Linked DNA regions of Caenorhabditis elegans. The protein of the gene in region 3 purifies or fractionates together with the protein of the main gene of each other region. This does not show direct contact. Each region holds a gene or a part of one and is shown on either strand. Other genes may lie near its edges. The genes, in order: rab-14, spg-7, F26H9.5 and let-363.

Region 1 (4,147 bases), on a different chromosome or scaffold from region 3:
TTGAAGAATAGCAGATTGGAAGCGTCGTGCCAAAATTCTTTGGATCAATCTTCGGAGCATTGCGAACTCTATAGTGGTACTCTGCTTTGACATTTGGGAAGACGACATTCTTCTTGGCTAGAACATCGTAAAACACCCTTGGACGACTTGAGGTATTTCCAACAAAAGGAAGAGTTGTGGGCCTCCTTCTTGAAACGGCATCCTGACGAACTGGTTCAGAAAGATCTTTTGCGGTTTTTCTGACTCCAGTTCTAGGATTGGCTACGGTTTTGGTTTTGCATTTTGTACGAGCCATACCCTGAAAAACAAAAAAAATAATGTTTAGGGAACATTGTTACAAAAGGAGAAGAAGCAAATGAGATAAAGTTGGTAGACTACAGACAAGAAAATGCAAAGAATGATAACCCTAGAATTGGTAAGAATGAAGGGGTGTTATTGCGAAACATTACTGGCTGCGAGGGTTTCACAATGAATTTTCCGTTTTTTTTTTTTTTAATATTTCGCAATACTACATTGTAGATGACTAGAGGGAGGACCGCCCTTCTTCACATATCACAGAAACGACGAGAGGAATCGGAAGAGAGCGCGTGGCGATGAGAGAAGCTCGTGCATCAGCAGGTATTGCGAAATATCATCGCGGCACTACGATCAACACAAGTGTCAGAGAAGGAAACTACGGGGACCGAAACGAGAGATAGAGAATGAGTGGGTAGATGGTCGAATAGTGATAAAATCAAATGTCTCGAGAACTGTAAGACTGTTCACAAACGAGTTGTAACCGATTAGGGGAGCCATGGTTGGAAATTGAAGTCATAATTTGCAATTTGATTAGGCTATTAAGCATATTTAATATTATAGTATTTTACTCTGTTCTGAAGATGAATTTGAAGAGCAAAACAAGAAGCAGGAGGAAATAATTGTTTTTTCCATGTCTTAGGCATCTACGTATATGAAAAAGAAAAAGCATGATCTCTTTGGAACAAGGAAAAAGATAGCTGGCTCAACACCAATGACAGATGAATAAGGAGAAAAGCTAGAGCCCACACACACGTGCGCATTCACTCGTCATTTCACTCTTCTCTCTTTTTGTCTCTCTACGTGTTTTTTTCTTCATCTCCAATCCGTCTCCTACGCGGCACATAAGGCGAGAGTCAGACAGCACAGTACAGCGCACACCGAGAGCGAGACGTTAGAGACACGCAGTAGAGACCAGTTCCGTTGCAAGCGTCGCGGTCGATAGTACGCGACGCGTCGTTTCTCAGAGAAGACAGAGATAGAGGAATGGAGGGGCCCCCGTTTTTGTCCAGTGTCTCTTTCCTCGTGATATTCCATTGCGTAGCACTCCTCGTACAACTGCTCCTCTCTCTCTCTCCGACATTGCCTCTTTTAGCTTTCTGGAGGCCAATGGATTCTCTATTGCTTTTGGACGTGGCGTTCATCTTTCTCTATCCCAACTACTTCCACATTTGTCTCTCTCTCCCCGTCGGTTTTCCCCTACTTCCAACTAATGACAACTTGGCAGTCAGTCTCTAATAGCCACTTTCTTTTGTGTGGTCTATCTATTCTCATTGCTACTTTTTTGTATCCTTTTTTCTGAAACGAATAACCAAAATATAATCCGCAACTTTCAGGTAACAAAAACACATAAAAATGACGGCTGCTCCTTACAATTATTCGTATATTTTCAAATATATTATTATTGGTGATATGGGTGTCGGAAAATCGTGTCTTCTTCATCAGTTCACAGAAAAGAAGTGTAAGTCCCGCATTCCTGGAAAATCGATATATCATGTTGTTTGTGTCAACATTAGTCATCAACAAGAGACCTGTTCCTCCGGTCAATAACCACCGTACAATCACTGCGGGCAACAAACGCAAAAACTAACTATAACTAACTTTCAGTCATGGCCGACTGCCCGCACACAATCGGCGTGGAATTCGGCACCAGGATTATTGAGGTCAGCGGACAGAAGATCAAGCTTCAAATCTGGGACACGGCGGGCCAGGAGCGATTCCGCGCTGTGACGCGATCATATTATCGTGGAGCAGCCGGAGCCTTGATGGTCTACGACATCACTCGCCGTTCTACCTACAATCATTTGAGCAGCTGGTTGGCCGACGCAAAAAGCTTGACCAATCCAAATACGGTAGGTAAAATATATACTTGGTTTATAATTTTTACTCAAAAGTAGGGTTGAAAAATATATAAAAACTCGAATTTATACTTTATAAAAGCATTCCCAAGTTCCAAAATTAAAGCGAATTTGAACTTTCAGCAAAATTTCAAAACTACATAGATGTACGCCATGTTTAGTAAATTGCAATTTATGAATTTTTGCAAGCATAACATTTATTTGCAGCTCAAAAGATCGTAGACTATAAACTGAATTTCAATCAAAATTCTCATGAATCAGATTTAAGCTGGAAAACATTCAATCTGTATGTGCTCTAAATTGTGTGTTTTATCGTTAAACTAATATCTAAAAAAAACGAGTTAAAATTGGGTTATCTAGTTTTATTTGGAGAGTTAAAAATCTACCTGTATTAGTAAGAAAACAGTATTTCGTCCACTTTGCACTGATTTAATTTTACAATAAAAATGAGATTCAAGCACCAATTCTCACAAGTTCCTTTTTCAGGCCATCTTTCTTATCGGAAACAAAGCCGACCTCGAAGATCAACGTGACGTGCCATACGAGGAAGCAAAAGCTTTCGCCGAAGAAAACGGGCTCACTTTCTTGGAGTGCAGTGCGAAGACGTAAGTTTCTTCCCCCCACCCCCCCACTGCAAATTCATCAATTTCAAATGGCTTTTTTTTCAGTGGCAGTAACGTCGAAGACGCTTTCCTCGAAACGGCCAAGCAAATCTATCAGAATATCCAAGACGGAAGTTTGGACTTGAACGCCGCCGACACTGGCGTCCAGCCAAAACAGAACTTGCCACGTGCAGCTGAAAATAATGGGAAGAAGGACTGCAACTGCTAGTTGATGTGTGCAAAGTCCCTTCTTCCCCTCAAATCATTCCCAATTGATTTTAATGTATTTTTTTAAATTATTACTTTCTAATCCGTCTATCTGTATGTGAGAGCTTGTCACCCATTATCATTAAAATGCCAGAAGAATCAACATTGGGTGGTATGGTTTCTTGTTTCCAAATTCTAGTTGCCTGTCAAAATCTAAACTTGTAATCACTATAAAACTACTCTGAAATTCAGAACTTTGTGTCACTTTTACTTACCAATTCCCAGTCTTTTTCAGTCCCCCACCCATTACTCACTATCATCATCGAACTGTGAACCGTTCATAATATAACACTTTCGCTCACCCAACCAACTGCATATTTAGTAGATTTTTTCTGTCAAAAACCGTTTTGAACATTTTTCCCCCATTCCTTGTGTGATAAGAAACATCTATATGATCCCACCCCATTAAGTGCTATAATTGTGCTTTGAAAATCAAAAAAACTAACGATTTTTGTCATTTTTGTCACTTTTCCTTATAAATAGTTCTCTGTTGTTAGTTTTATGAACCTATGATTTCAGAAAACTTTTTCAAAATTTATTTTTTTTGTTTAATCATTTTTCAGCAAAATTCAATTGTACATATAATATTTAAAAAAACTATTCATTGAAGCATGAAGTGCTCAATCTTCAAAGTTAACATCACCAGTAATAGTCAAATGTGTTTTCAAGTGTGCGTAAATTTTTCTAATGACAGAGTAATCCGTGGCTGAAATGGGATTCTAGTCACGGGTGGGCAGCAAACGATTGTTTCCGGCAAATCGGCAAATCGGCAGATTGCAGGAATTGCAGATTTCCGGCAAATCGGCTAATCGGCAAATTGCCGATTCGCCAAATTTGCTGGAAAAAAAGAAACTTGCCAAAAAATTTCTGCAAATTGTGGTTTCGCACTTATTTTTTTGGAAATTTTAGAATTCCAATTTCAAATGACAAAATTTTACGCATCCTATGAATATTCCTACATCTATTTCGAAAAGTAAGCAAATTCTATGAAAATATGTAGACAAAACGGAAAAAATTCAAAAAAAAACGGTTTTAAGAGTTTCCGTTCTATAAAAAGTCCCTCTAAAAATTTCCGGGAAATCTGATATTCGGCAAACGGCAAATCGGCAACTTGCCGAAAATGAA
Region 2 (4,595 bases), 5.8 Mb from region 3:
GACATGAGATCGCAGTGCACAACTTCCACAAAGCGCCAACGATTTGATATCCAAATCCACCTTAAAAAATCATTTTTCAATTTTTTTTTTTTTTTTGAAATTGGATATTTTCCGGACCTCGGCACCCAAATTCTCCACGACGTCGTATTTGAAGGCATCAGTGACGCAATTGCGGCAGACGAACATGCTGGAAATTGAATTTTTTTGTTATTTCTAATTAAAAGAGGCCTACTCCGATTCGTTGTCGTATTTGGTGCATTGAGTGCAGTCCACTGCATTTGCAGGCTTCTTTGGCTTCTCACGAAGCTTTTGGATCATGGTCACAGCATCTGAAAAATAGTTTTTTTCGGGAAATATGAATATTTTTAAAACTTGTCAATGCAAAGTTTTTTGTTCGCTTCTCCTTGCTAACCACGGCCTGAAATTATTTTATTTTTAAACAGATATCAATATATTTAAGCCATACGCGGCATGTCGGGCATTGTGTCTGGCCACCAGATCCATATGCGTCAGAATAATCGCTTTTCAAGTGCACAATGCAAGTTTCGCATAGAGAATGGCCACAAGATATGATGAATGGAGCCTTTTGATCATCTGAAAATAAAAATGTGCTTGTTTTACAATAAAAATTGGGATATTTTTCACCAAATTCTTCCTGGCACACAGGGCAAGTCGGGAGTTCTTCATTAACATCCATTTTTCTCGAAAATTCTGAAAAATAAAGTTTTTTAAATTAGAAAAATCAATATTTTTAAATTTTCGTTATTTTTAATCGTCGAATAATTGAAATTTTCGTTTAAAATTAAGGAAAAACAATTTATACAATTTATATCCGGAAAAATTAATGTTTTTGCAAATATTTGAGTTTCAAGCGTTTTCGCTTCAAGTCTCAAGGAGGATAATGTGCTTGCGCCTTTAAAAACTACAGTAAGACCTTTGTTTATTTCGTCATCGAATTTCAATGTTTTGAATCAAATTTCCCGTGATTCCGGTTTGATTTTCACAATTTTATTATGTTTTTACACTATTTAATGAATTTTAATTCAGTATATAATAAAATCCATAGATTATCCACACTGAAAATCTACCAATACCGTCAGTTTCTCAAAAAAAAAACATTTGCCCAAAAAATGCCTGTTTTCCATGGAAATTCACATTGATTTTTAATTTCACAACGTTTTTTTTGCCAATTTCTTTCCAAAATTTCTCAAAGTACTTTCGCAAACTAATCGTTCACTTTTGCGTCATGGCTCTGTGCACTGGAAACTAATTTCAAACGACGCGCGCATTGTCTTGTGCGATGGAGCGCGCTTGCTATTTTCTAAAAAGTGCTCAGTATTTTTGAAGCTTTATGGTTTTTCCTTGTATTTTGCATAATTTTAAACATTTTTCTCGAGAAAAAATATTCGAAAAAGTAGAAAACGGCTGAAATTTGGTTGTTTTTAATTTTTTCCCTCGTTCCTCAATCTTAAAATCGAAGATTTCGTCATCTCTCACTGTTTGCGCAGTGCATGATTATGATAATTAAATTCTATTGCAGAAATGTGGCGATTATACCGAAAAACGCCGAAGCAGCTGAGAAATTCGGTCGAATCATGCTTCAAATCTGTCAATTCCCGCCAATTTTCAGTCAGCTCATTTTCAGCAGTAGCCAAAGATGATGTAATATTACCGCCTGCCAGTATACTGAAAATTCTGAATTTTTTTGCAGAAATCCGTGCTAAAACAACAAGAAGTTCTGCATCTTCTCGCAAAAGATCAGCGATTTGAAGAGCGATTCTTCAATCAAGTACAGCAGACAATTCGATATTTCGCCTCGAAACCAAATGATTTGAAAAAGTTCTTCAGGAAGGAAGCATCGACGGATAATAAAGGTTTTCAGAGGGAAATTATCATTAATTCGAAGTTTTTTCCAGAATCTTCATCATCTTCTGACAAAAAGGACAGCAAAGGAAATAAGGGAGAGGATAATAATCCGTTTAATCAATTGTGAGGAGGAATAGACACAAAAATCGGCTAATTTTGGCTAAAATCTGAAATTTCGCCCAAATTATCATCATTTAGATGCTTTTCACCACGTTATTTTGTTTATTGAAGTCTCGGAGAAGCCCCGGAAATCATTTCTAGTCGAATTTCTTTGGAGTATTTCAAAAAATTGACTTTTACAGGTTTCCCGGGCCGTATTTTGAACTTTTTGGCAAAAATTGTCCCAAAGATCCGGAAAAAACTTGTAAAATCCAATATTTTTAAAATAAATTGGTGATTTTAGCTAAAATTAGCAGTTTTTTTAAAAAGTTTTATTGGCAGAGCAAAAACCGTGCCAGAGTTGCAAAAATTGGCGTTTTTAGCATTTTCTCCATTTTTCCAGATTTTCAAAAATCGAAAATTCGGGATTTCGGAATCATTTCAATAAAATTCAAAATTTAATGAAATCACGAATTTTCCAAATCGTTGAAAAAAAATTCCGAGAAAAAAAAAACAAAAAAACGCCCATTTTTGCAATTCTGGCACGGTTTTTTGCTCCGCCCACGATGTTTTTGAGCGGGGCACCACGTTTTCAAGATCTACGAGAAGAAGATCTACGTTTTCAGGATCTGGCACCGTGCCAAGTGCAGTTTTCGCAGTTTTCTCGAAGAAAATCGAAATAACGATGCTCCGATATTACGCATCGCGAGTTGTTTAGCGTTTTTCAGAAGTTTTTATTCAAAAAAGGTTTTTCTGACTAAACAACGTGCGATGCGTAATATCGGAGCATCGTTGCTTTTTCTTCGAGTAGACTGCGAAAACCGCAGTTGGCATGGTGCCAGATCCTGAAAATGTAGACCTCCTTTTCGTAGATCTCGTTTCCGGCTAGATCTTGAAAACGTGGTGCCTCTTTTGAGCACATTTACCTTTTCTAAGATTTAAAAGTGGGGTACCGAAATCTGGAAAATATTTTCAAATGTCTCCAAATTTTCTTCTCATTCCAAATATCGATGTGAAAAAAATCAAAACAATTTTCTAGATTTTATATGATTTTTTGAAAATAGGAAAAATCACAGTTTTCACCTAATTATTTTTGAATTTCCGCCAATTGGATTTGTTCGGTGGAGCGTGCTTGCAGTATTTTTATCAATTAATTTTTTTAAATTCTTGTTCTTTGACTGATTTTCTTCATTTTCTATGTTTTCTCCTCGGAAAATGGAAGAAATAAACAAGACAAATGCAAAATTCTTGTTAAAAAGTAATTGAAAATGAGTAAAACTGTGAAATATACTAATTTCAGGCTTGTTGCCGTCGGAACTCAGAATATCACAGTTTTACTCATTTTCAATTACTTTTTAACAAAAATGTTGCATTTGTCTTTTTTATTTCTTCCATTTTCCGAGGAAAAAACATAGAAAATGAAGAAAATCAGTCAAATAACGAGAATAAATAAAATTAATAAATAAAAATAATGCAAGTGCGCTCCACCGAACAAATTCAATTGGCGGAAATTCAAAAATAATTAGGTGAAAACTGTGATTTTTCCAATTTTCAAAAAATCATATAAAATCTGGAAAATTTTTTTGAATTTTAATATCATGATATTCGGTCAATGTGACCCCATAGGCGCGTTTTAAAGCAATTTACCCACTGAGCGTAGTCCACCTTTAAAAAAACGGAGAAAACCTCTAAAACCCCTTAAAATCAATCTAATTCCTCCAATTTTCAGCCCAGGAGGATGGCAACAAATTGCCGTTTCAGTTGGAATTCTGCTCGCTCTCTACGCCTTTATGGATTATCAGTCGTATCGTGAAATTTCCTGGAAGGAGTTTTACAGTGATTTCCTGGAAGCTGGACTTGTCGAGAGACTTGAAGTAGTTGATAAGCGATGGGTTCGAATTGTTAGCTCGTCTGGAAAGTATGCAGGAGTTAGTTTTTTAGTTTTTGCACTGAAATTCGTGAAAAAATGAATTTTTTTCTTTCAGCAAACGTGCTATTTCAACATCGGAAGTGTGGATAGCTTCGAACGGAGCCTCGGAGCTGCTCAGCATCATCTCCAGTATGATGCTGATCGACAAATTCCGGTTTTATATAAATCTGAATTCAATTTGTAAGGATTTCTGCAAAAATCACTCCATTTCAAGAAAAATTAGAGAAAAAAAGAAAAAACCCCCGATTTTCTTAAAGAAAAAGCTCTGGGAAATGGGAAAAGTTATAATTTTTGCATGAAAATTCAGAAAAACTTTTAATTTTTCACATTTTTTGTAGTTAAAATTTTGTTTTTAAAGTGAAAACCTTCAGAAAGTCACTGAAAATGAAAATTTTGCACAAAAATTATGGAAAAAGTTGCTTTTTGCTCGTTTTTTGCACTAAAATTTCAAAAAAAAAATCCGATTTTTCTGATTTTTTGCCTGAAAATTTCAAAAACAAAAATTAATTTTGCTGGTTTTTTGCAGAAAAATTTTTAAAAAAACGCAGTTAGGCTGTTTTTTGCCTAAAAATTCGAGAAAATCTCAATTTTGCTGAATTTTTGCACTAAAAGTCTTTTAAAAAATCCGATGTTTCTGATTTTTTGCCAAAAAATTCAAAAAAAAAAATTTTGCTGATTTGTTGCACTAAAATTCCAAAAA
Region 3 (4,297 bases):
TAAAAACTTTCGCAGTTTTCTATTTAGATTTTCAGTATTTTTGACTAATACTGAACATATTTTGGCAAACATCCCTGGTTTCGTTCAATAAGAATTTTGAAAAAGTGAGCTATAAGTTGAAATTTGTTAAAAAATTTTATCCGAAAATTTTGAAAAACGGCAATTATCGAATTATCGAGAAAATTCTCAGAATGAAATATTAAAATCTCCAGTTTTTTATGTGTTGGGAAGGAAAAAAGTTAAATTGTATTACCAAAAAAAAGACTCACTACAATAAAAGTTTATTAAACTCGATAATTGCCGAATTGCAGAATTCTCGAAAATTTTCGATTGCCGCCTGATTCCAATGTCAACAAGGCAGAAATATATTCCCAAGAGTTTAATGTTTGGGCCAGTCAGTTGTACATTTACAACTACATTATGCAACATTTCCTGTAGCGATTCGGTTTTTAGTACAAACATATAAACAGTTGACCTATTTAATTTCCAATTTATCCCACTCAAAGACACACCCATTGTTCTCACGAATCTTACATCATTATGATGACATTTATGGGGTTATTCAAGTAGTGTCGGAAAATTAAAAAGTGTAGAAAAATTACGTCACAACCTTATTCAAGTAGATAAAAACATGTATTTAAATACATTTGTGACGTCACAAATGTATTTAAGTACATTTTGCTACATTACTTGAATAACCCCATTATAGCCAAAAAACATGAGTTTATCTAAATAAACCATCTGTGTACGTGACTTTCATAACTTTCTTTTTGTTCCATAAAAGAGTCGTCTCATGATAACATCATACCCCTCCCCTCCTCTTCTTTTCCCTGTTCTCCGTCATTTATGCATTCATTTTGTTGCATGGCGGTTGTTGGTACACGTGTACCCCTTTTCTTATCATAATGATCAGCTTGCTAGCTTAGCGATTTATGTCCTCTGACTATTGTCATCTGAATTAGAAGATGTTTGGTATTTGTTATATTTTTGGATAGCTTTTTTTTGAAAAAAAAACATCAGTATTATTTGTTTGATAATTATTTGATAGCGTTGATTTCTCAACCCGAAATTGTTCACTTTTCAAAAATTTTGTTGGATTTTTTAATCTTCCAAATATTTGAAAGCAAACCAAATATAAAAACAAACATAAAGTTTCAAGTTTACTCGTATTTACTAAAAGTTATGGTTATTCTGAATTTTTCTGAAATACGAAATGAAAGGTACACAGTTTTAGTGAGGTGGGTCTCGCCACGAAACAAGTTTATGGTAGTACTTTTTATCATTGCGGCGGTCGCTTTCCTATTTTCCTAACTGTTCTTTTCGAAAATTAAATTTCCTTAAATCTTTTTTATCAAGAAAAACATTGATTTTAAAAGAATTTTCGTTTGAAAAAAACGGAAAGCGCGTTTACAACAACCGCCGAAAAAAGTGCTACCATAAACTTTTTCGAGTGGCGAGACCTGTTCAAATTAATCTGTGCGCCTTTTCAAAATTACGATATTACGAAACCATGAGTTCATGAGAATGCCTACTTTGTGGCGCGAAAGTAGCGGCAGCAGAGAGAACGTGCGGTGACGAGAGATTTAGGTGCCTTCGCTACGAGATATTCCCGCGCCAAAACGGTAGGCATTCTCATGATCTCATGGTCTCTTAATACTTAAATCTTGACCCATCCAACGGATTCTTTTGCAATTTTTTACACAAGAAATTCCAATAAATTGCTTTTGAGTTTAAAATATTCAAAATTATAACTTTAATTCATTTTTAAAAATTTAAATTTAAGTAAATTGAATCGCTGAATTGTTTTTAAACTTCAATCTCTCAGCATCATAAATATACTATTACTCTTCTTCTTTTTTTCTTCTTTTCCTGCAGGAATTCCTGCTCATTGTTCGAAACGTTTGTTTTTTGCGAAACCGCTACTCTATTTTTGCAGAAATCAATAAAACACACTAACCCTCTTCTCCATAAAATGGCAGCTCCCGGACGAAAAATTAACTTTGCTGCTGGTCCAGCAAAGCTTCCTGAAGAAGTTTTACTTAAAATGCAAGAAGAACAACTCAATTTCAATAATCTAGGAGTCAGTGTCATTGGTAAATTAAGAAATATGCGGATATTGTGAGAATTCAAGACAAATTTTCAGAAATGTCGCATAGATCGAAGGAATTCGGAGCTCTTCTCAATGAAACTATCAGTCTTATTCGGGAACTTATGTAAGTTCGATGTTTCTGAAATTATTCTGTAATTAGTTCAACTAGCTAGAGTGATGAAACTTGAAACATTGTGCACCAAGCCTTTTTAAAATTAAAGTGCAAAATGCTTCCATTCCTTCAAAAAAAGAAAAAGAAAACCCGGAAGTGGCATTTAATCTTAATAAAAATCTATTTGCAGGAACGTACCAGACAACTTTGAAATTCTTTTCATGCAAGGCGGCGGAACCGGTCAATTCGCCGCTATTCCTCTCAATCTTAAGGTATAATTTATGATAAGAGTGAAACACGTCTCTGATGGCTTTTGAGACTTCCCTAACTAGAAAAAAATGTTGTTTAAAACAATTTATCATTCCTAGAAAATGAAAAAAAAATCTTATGACTTGAAAAGTTAGGCAAATCTCAATATACCCACAATAAAAAATAAAATATAAAAATAAAGTTTCCTTTATAGGGTGATCATGAACACGCGGACTACATTGTGACAGGCGCGTGGTCTTCAAAAGCAGCAGATGAGGCTGGAAAATATATCAATGTGAAGAAGGTTTTTCAACCATCAAAACCGTATGTCACTGTACCAGATCAAGAGAATTGGGTTCACGATGAAAAAGCCGCATATCTGTATTATTGTGCCAATGAGACTGTACATGGAATTGAATTTACTCCAACTGCTCCAGAATCACATAATGTTCCATTGGTGGCTGATGTTTCTTCGAATTTCATGGCTAGACCATTTGATTTTAAAGATGTAAGCACAACTATGTATATAAAAATCTTTTAGAAAATTAGCCAGATGTTTTATCCTAATTTTACAAGATTTTGGCAAGAGAAAATCTTGTGAAATTACCAAATAAGTTTTATGAAAAAATCATTAACCTTTTTTTAAAAGTTTCATTTCAGCACGGAGTGGTTTTCGGTGGAGCTCAGAAAAACCTTGGCGCCGCTGGTCTTACAATCGTTATTGTTCGGAAAGATCTTATCGGAAAGCAACAAGCAATCACTCCATCTGTCTTCAGTTATAAAGAAATGATTGCAAATAATAGTTTGTATAATACACCACCAACTGGAGGTATCTACACAACAAATCTCGTTCTCAAATGGATAAAATCAAAAGGTGGACTTCAAGCAATCTATGAGCTAAACCTTCAAAAATCTGGAATGATTTATGATATAATTGATAATTCAAATGGTTTTTATCACTGCGCCGTTGACAAACGCTACCGTAGTATTATGAATGTTTGCTTCCGAATTGGCGGTCCATCTGGAAACGATGAACTTGAGGAGAAGTTCTTGAAAGGATCTATTGAACGAAATATGATTAGTTTAAAGGGACATAGATCAGTTGGTGGAATCCGTGCATCGCTCTATAATGCCATCTCAGTCGAGGAGACACAAGTACTTGCCACGTGGATGAATGAGTTCCAGAAACTCCATAATACTAACTAGTCGGGAGACACTATATTTTTCTTGTATTCTTATTCTGAATTTGTCTGTGATTTTTAAAAACCTTCATGTGCCTTTTTGATTGTTTGTATTTGAATTTTTAAAGTGATTTTAAGAACCAATAAATAATGGTTAACATTTTTTGTTTATTTAAAAAAAACAGAAAACTATGAAATTCCAATGACATCAATGTCTTCATCAAGAAAATCTTGTCTTCTCCTTTTTTTTGTTTCAGCAAAAATTGTCTTGCGTCCGTTTATAGTTCCTCCGGCCATTTTCATTACAAATTCCCGGGCTGTACGCTCGAATTTCGGCCAATCCTCTTTAGCAAGCCGCGAGATATTCGGTTGTGACATATCTTCCAATTGAGCAAGATTTCTACGTTCTGGAAGAGTTCATAATTTAATTTTTTAGTTGATATTTAGATAGCCAAGTAGTTTAAAATGTCTTATAAATGTAGAAAGAATTTACCAATATCATATTTCACATTTCGCATTCCTTCCACAATAAAATTATATAAAACTTCCAAATTGGATCGTCGTTCCCATTGAATTCCACGCATGTCCCACTGAATAATTGCAAAAAATTTAAATGTTTTCAAAATTAGGTTTTTAAACTTACGTTTCCATATTTCCCAAGATTCG
Region 4 (4,956 bases), 4.1 Mb from region 3:
ACGAAGAGACAGCAGCCAAACGGATTTCCACATTGTCCGCTGTCAAGTAGTACTGAAAAACCACAAAATTACAGAAAAATCGAGAAAACTTTCGAACGTACATCTGCAACGTATTGCATGATTCTCTGCAAGGCACCTCTTGAGAAATAGAATTCACCGAGCACATCGACAGCCAGCACGATTCGTTGAAGCTCTTTTGGATCGGTTTCTGCTTTCTGAAATATAAATCTTTTGCATAAATACAACCCCAAAACTCTCATTTGAGATTTTTTGAATTTACTTCTTTGCACAACAGAAATATCGCCAATGAGAAATATATTTAAAACCATTGTTAATGCTAACATGATAAAATATCATAGGAAATCTGTTCGAAAAATTTAAATTTTAAAAAGTCGCCATTTCTATTTTCTTATTTTGCTGATTATGAAAATATTTGAAAACCCCGCAAAGTTTAGGTTTTTTTTTCGATTTTTCGGCTTTTAAATTTACGATTTCTGGAAACAAAAATCAAAAATTTCGAAAAATTTCTGGTCATTTCTCTATTTTTCAAAAGATAATTTCGATAAATTTATAGCTTCTCTGTCTTTTGTTTTTCGAACATATCTGAAAAAAGCGAAAAATCATACAAATTTTTAACGACGCCCTTGGTTCGAATATAGAAAAATGTCGAAACTTTGACGGAAAATTATTTCAAAAAAGATAAAATTGTAAGCGTTTTTAAATCTGATGGGATTCTGATCTTTATTTAAAAAATGTTATGTGCTTTTCAGATTCAAAAAAATTACTTCGAGCAAAATTATAAAATTTCTCTACGAAACAAACCTGCAAAATAGCTTTAGGACTCGCAGGCCTTCCAATCGGTTCGGATTTTGGTGGAATTAGAGATCCAGTGAGTGTTTGATAGACAGAAGCCATAACACCATCTTGAACATTCAGCCGCAGTTTCGGAATTCTCATCATAATCATTTTTAGCACGTTTGCCAGCGATCGAGACAGGGTAATATCCATTAATTGTGGAATTATTGCCTTGATTTGTGTCGTCACTTGTTCGTGATAAGCATCCACAAATAGGAACAGGAATGTGAAATAATTATCGAGAACATCAGAATTCGTCGTTTTTCTACAAAATTTAACTATTAAAAAAAGTGTACTAATTTCAAATTTACTTGATAGCAGCAGAGATAAAACTGATTGTTTTCTCGATATGTGTGGCATGTACATCTGGATTCGAGAGCATCATCATTCCGATTGCTGGAGCAGCGACCGCATTTCTTTGAAGACTGAAAAAATTGAACATTATTGGAAATTTTGAATCACCATAATTTTTTTTGAGTCTCGTTACAAAATTCGTTTTTAGCGCATTTCGAGTCTATAAAAGCTAAAAGCCCATAAACATCAGTCCTCTTCCATTCTACGTACATAGTAAATGAAGTGTCGAATGAGATTGTTTGAAAAGTTCGATCACATTGTGGAAATGCACAAATTCTTGGTAGAAGCTGCATGAGAACTGTATTCAGGTAAATCGAGCTTTGCTGTTTCGTGGATGAAGTTTTGTTTGCGAGAGGTATTATCTGACGAACACAATCGAGTATCTGGAAAAAAACATAACAAATTTCGGGAAATGAAGAATTTCAGCTTTTACCTTCGGAAATCGTTCCAAAACCAGCTTTCGAGCAGTCACACTTTCCACAATAGTTTGTTGCCTTAAAAATACAAGTTTTTAAATAGATGAAAAAGAATCGATTACTTAGTTAGGACAAGCCATTCAACACCTTCTTCTTCGTCTTCTTTCAAAAACTTTTGTTTAATAAACTGTGAGGATTCACATCTGATGAGTTCGAATCGTTGATCAGAAATTCGAAGAAGTTCATTGAGAATCAGGGCGACGGCATGCCATCTATCCAAATCGTCCTTTTGCGATGGGTTTGGTTGACCTTCCAGTGCTTCATCGAAACATTTCTGGAATATAAAATCATTCTAACGAAAGATCAAAATTTTAATTGATCACCTTAAACCACTCAGTTTTATTCTTTGCTTCACGCTGTGAAACAATTGTCAAAACCACGTGTAATGCATCAATTCCGGCGATTCTTACAGCTGGATTCTTGTCTCTGACAGCGTTGAAGATATACTTGAAAAATAAGTTTACACGAAGAAAGAATGCTGTCGGTGTGGCCAGTGCGAGCTCACGAGAGAGGTGTGAAGCGGCGAGTCGACGAATTTGATCAATTTCCTGTTGATTTTTGGGTTGCTGACTATGTGGAACATTTTGACCAAGCCATTCGTGGCAATGATCAAGACAACGATCAACCAGCTCGGCCGCGTATGATTTACAAGTCTGCAAATGTTTAAAATTGGTTTAAAAAAAATTAAATTACTTACCGCAATCAGAAAAGCGAGAGCTTTTGAAGCCATCTTGACTGTATCTTCATCTAATCCATTTCCATTATTTAACATTTTCAGAAGATAATTCGCATATCGAATAACATTTCCAGAATGAGTTTCAGCTAAGCACACGATGAGATAGATACCGGCTCGTTTCTGATCGATATTTGAATTCGACTTCATACAATTATAAATTGCACTCTGAGAGGCTATATCTGTTCGTCCATCGATTGCATTCAGGAAAGCATCACTAAAAGTATTTGGCTCGTCTTTCAGCTCACTTCGAACATATCTGAGGAAAATAATATATTTAATTTATTGACTTTTATTTAAAAAAAAAACTACCTGCTGAGTTCTCGAGCAGCCTGTCGTTGATTTGCATCTCTATTTTCCGTAATTCGGCTCCGATATTGTGAAGCAAGAGCTCTTGCAGCATCAATCCCTTGCTGAAATATGATTTTTTTTTCCTTAAAAATTGTTTAAAGGAGAAGAAATACTAACTTTACGATGCCGCTCGTCAAATTCATTTGTAGCTGGAGCGGAGACTATTCGATTGGAAGTTGTGGCTGCTTTGTTCTGTCTATCGGCATTCATTTGAAAACTAATTCCGTGTTGTTGGAGCATTTTTCAAAGATGTTTCTGCCGATTTAGTGCATTGTGGGCTTAAAATTACGTTAAGAATAAAAAGTTATGAGAATGATCAGAAGCATAGAAAATCACTGGTTTTTTTCCGAAAATAAAATTATTTCCAGCTGAAATAATCAAGAAAGTGCTCAAAACTGGCCGTTTTCAGAAAAATATAGCTTGATAGTTCGATAATAGACAACTTTCAGGTAATTTTTTACCACTTTTTAAATTTTTTTCAGCTAAAAATTAGGTTTTTTTTCCTATGTAAATCAAGGGATTTTCAATGAAAAATATGAGAACAACACGGAGCCTTTTGTAATATCAGATAACTATGGGCTGACAAAACCCGTTGCATATTTCAAAATATCAAGAAAAAAGAACAATGGATATTCTTTGAAAAACTAAATAAACTGAGGAAGGAAGCAAAGCAAACAACATTTTTAAAAGCCTACTCGAAAACAAAAAAAATATCTAGAAACAACTTTTTATCGATTGAAAACTCGTGGAGCTCCTCTCTTGAATCTGTCCATGTCTTCTGTTCGTGCCGCTCGTCTCTTCTCATCATCCAATCTATCTCGATTTTTCATGAATTCTTTTTCCTGCCAAAGCTTCTGCATCACGTAGGCATCGTCGTCGAGATATGGAGTTTCGTATTCTTTCTGGCCGAGTTGAGGTGGTGCAAAGTGTTCTGTGGCTTGTTTTCTGGAACATATTTTTATTTTAAAAAAATTAATTTTATCAGGAACTCACTGATATGTAAATCCAGCGAATGAAGTGATTGTTCTCTTGCGTGGAGCCGCGGATTCTCCAGTTTCCAAACGGAAGACCGCATCATTTCGCTCGTGAACTACTGATTCTATACGATCCATTGTCTGAAATATATCATTTTGCATTTATTAAATTTTTAAAATATACCTCATGAACACGATCAAGTCTCTCTGGGTTTGGCATGTTCCGGGCACGTGAAGTGTGCGCTTTTTTCATCGTTATCAGCATATTTCGCTCCTTCAAGCACACATACCTTAAATTTAAATTTTTAATAAATTTAAAACCGAATTGCCATTAAATTACCAAAGCTTATGCAAATCTGAATTGCTTTTTAATCTCAGTTCTTCTGCTGTCCACGATCTGCCCGGCCGATGTTTCGGGCGGAGCTCTGCTTTTCCAAAATTCGCTTCATCATCGAAAAATTGTTTCATTGTACTGGAAAATCGTGTGTTGACGGCATTTTGTGATCTAAAAGAAGCAAAAATTAACTGGAATTCAACAAACTTCGATTTATCAACTAACCGAACAGCCGAAGACACCAAACTCGGTAAACTACGCCACATTGTAGATTTGAAGAACCTCAAAGAATGAAAATTGGTAAAATCAAAATTTTGCATATATAAAGAGCAAAATATTCAATAAAAACAAAAGAAAACATTAAAAAATAGAATATTTTGGAGAAAACCTTGCTGCCAAAAAATAATAAATGGGCGGCAAGTGCGCTCCACCGCACAATTGCCTCCCCCATAGCAGAGGTAATTCAAAAAATAGTTTTTTCTAGATAAAATTTCAATAGCAAGTTTTAATACTTTTAACATGGGTTTTCAGTAAAACATTGAATTAACTTCAAGTAATTATTTCTTGAAAAAATTCTTCGACAAAAAAGTTCATTTTAAGTCAGATATTAATTTTTGAAATTATGAAAACTTAGTTAATCTCCCAATAAATAAATGCGGTCATTTATATGCCTGGAGGTCAGTTTTTTTGATTAAACTGGAAGCTTCTGGCACCTAGAAAAATTTTGTTATTAAATTTTGAAAGCGCTTAAAATTTGAAACAAGTCCCCGAAGAAACATTTTCAAAAAAGTTCAATTTAAGTCAGATATTAATTTTTGAAATTACGAAAACTAAATAAATCTCCCAATAAAAAATGCGGTCATTTATATGCCTGGAGGT

What was found.
Region 1: the proteins of F26H9.5 (region 3) and rab-14 fractionate together in Caenorhabditis elegans (co-fractionation; one large-scale study listed by BioGRID). This does not show direct contact.
Region 2: the proteins of F26H9.5 (region 3) and spg-7 fractionate together in Caenorhabditis elegans (co-fractionation; one large-scale study listed by BioGRID). This does not show direct contact.
Region 4: the proteins of F26H9.5 (region 3) and let-363 fractionate together in Caenorhabditis elegans (co-fractionation; one large-scale study listed by BioGRID). This does not show direct contact.

What each region holds. Positions count from the first base shown.
Region 1 is NC_003284.9:15,604,120-15,608,266, reverse strand, and holds rab-14 (Ras-related protein Rab-14), read left to right. Parts: upstream 1-1,631; 5' UTR 1,632-1,650; coding exon 1,651-1,756; intron 1,757-1,902; coding exon 1,903-2,147; intron 2,148-2,639; coding exon 2,640-2,758; intron 2,759-2,821; coding exon 2,822-2,984; 3' UTR 2,985-3,632; downstream 3,633-4,147. Other genes in the region: Protein nipi-3, read right to left, coding at 1-295.
Region 2 is NC_003279.8:3,465,592-3,470,186, forward strand, and holds the start of spg-7 (AFG3-like protein spg-7), read left to right. Parts: upstream 1-1,540; 5' UTR 1,541-1,542; coding exon 1,543-1,662; intron 1,663-1,711; coding exon 1,712-1,874; intron 1,875-1,916; coding exon 1,917-1,989; intron 1,990-2,530; exon of another isoform or gene 2,531-2,596; intron 2,597-3,694; coding exon 3,695-3,893; intron 3,894-3,950; coding exon 3,951-4,075; intron 4,076-4,595. Other genes in the region: Y47G6A.14 (RING-type domain-containing protein), read right to left, coding at 1-60, 118-187, 233-329, 373-418, 467-594, 646-697.
Region 3 is NC_003279.8:9,312,128-9,316,424, reverse strand, and holds F26H9.5 (putative phosphoserine aminotransferase), read left to right. Parts: upstream 1-1,936; 5' UTR 1,937-1,972; coding exon 1,973-2,093; intron 2,094-2,143; coding exon 2,144-2,213; intron 2,214-2,391; coding exon 2,392-2,473; intron 2,474-2,664; coding exon 2,665-2,958; intron 2,959-3,110; coding exon 3,111-3,656; 3' UTR 3,657-3,790; downstream 3,791-4,297. Other genes in the region: uev-3 (Ubiquitin-conjugating enzyme E2 variant 3), read right to left, coding at 3,821-4,038, 4,125-4,221, 4,275-4,297. UniProt on the Caenorhabditis elegans protein: Catalyzes the reversible conversion of 3-phosphohydroxypyruvate to phosphoserine and of 3-hydroxy-2-oxo-4-phosphonooxybutanoate to phosphohydroxythreonine.
Region 4 is NC_003279.8:5,243,834-5,248,789, reverse strand, and holds the start of let-363 (Target of rapamycin homolog), read right to left. Parts: upstream 3,048-4,956; 5' UTR 3,010-3,047; coding exon 2,887-3,009; intron 2,832-2,886; coding exon 2,731-2,831; intron 2,678-2,730; coding exon 2,383-2,677; intron 2,339-2,382; coding exon 2,009-2,338; intron 1,960-2,008; coding exon 1,748-1,959; intron 1,704-1,747; coding exon 1,643-1,703; intron 1,593-1,642; coding exon 1,420-1,592; intron 1,281-1,419; coding exon 1,167-1,280; intron 1,121-1,166; coding exon 823-1,120; intron 216-822; coding exon 102-215; intron 53-101; coding exon 1-52. Other genes in the region: mrpl-47 (Large ribosomal subunit protein uL29m), read right to left, coding at 3,498-3,714, 3,763-3,884, 3,928-4,033, 4,084-4,248, 4,303-4,397. UniProt on the Caenorhabditis elegans protein: Serine/threonine-protein kinase that regulates the mRNA translation machinery, probably by modulating the activity of translation factors such as eIF-4G and eIF-2. It may have some protein kinase activity instead of lipid kinase activity.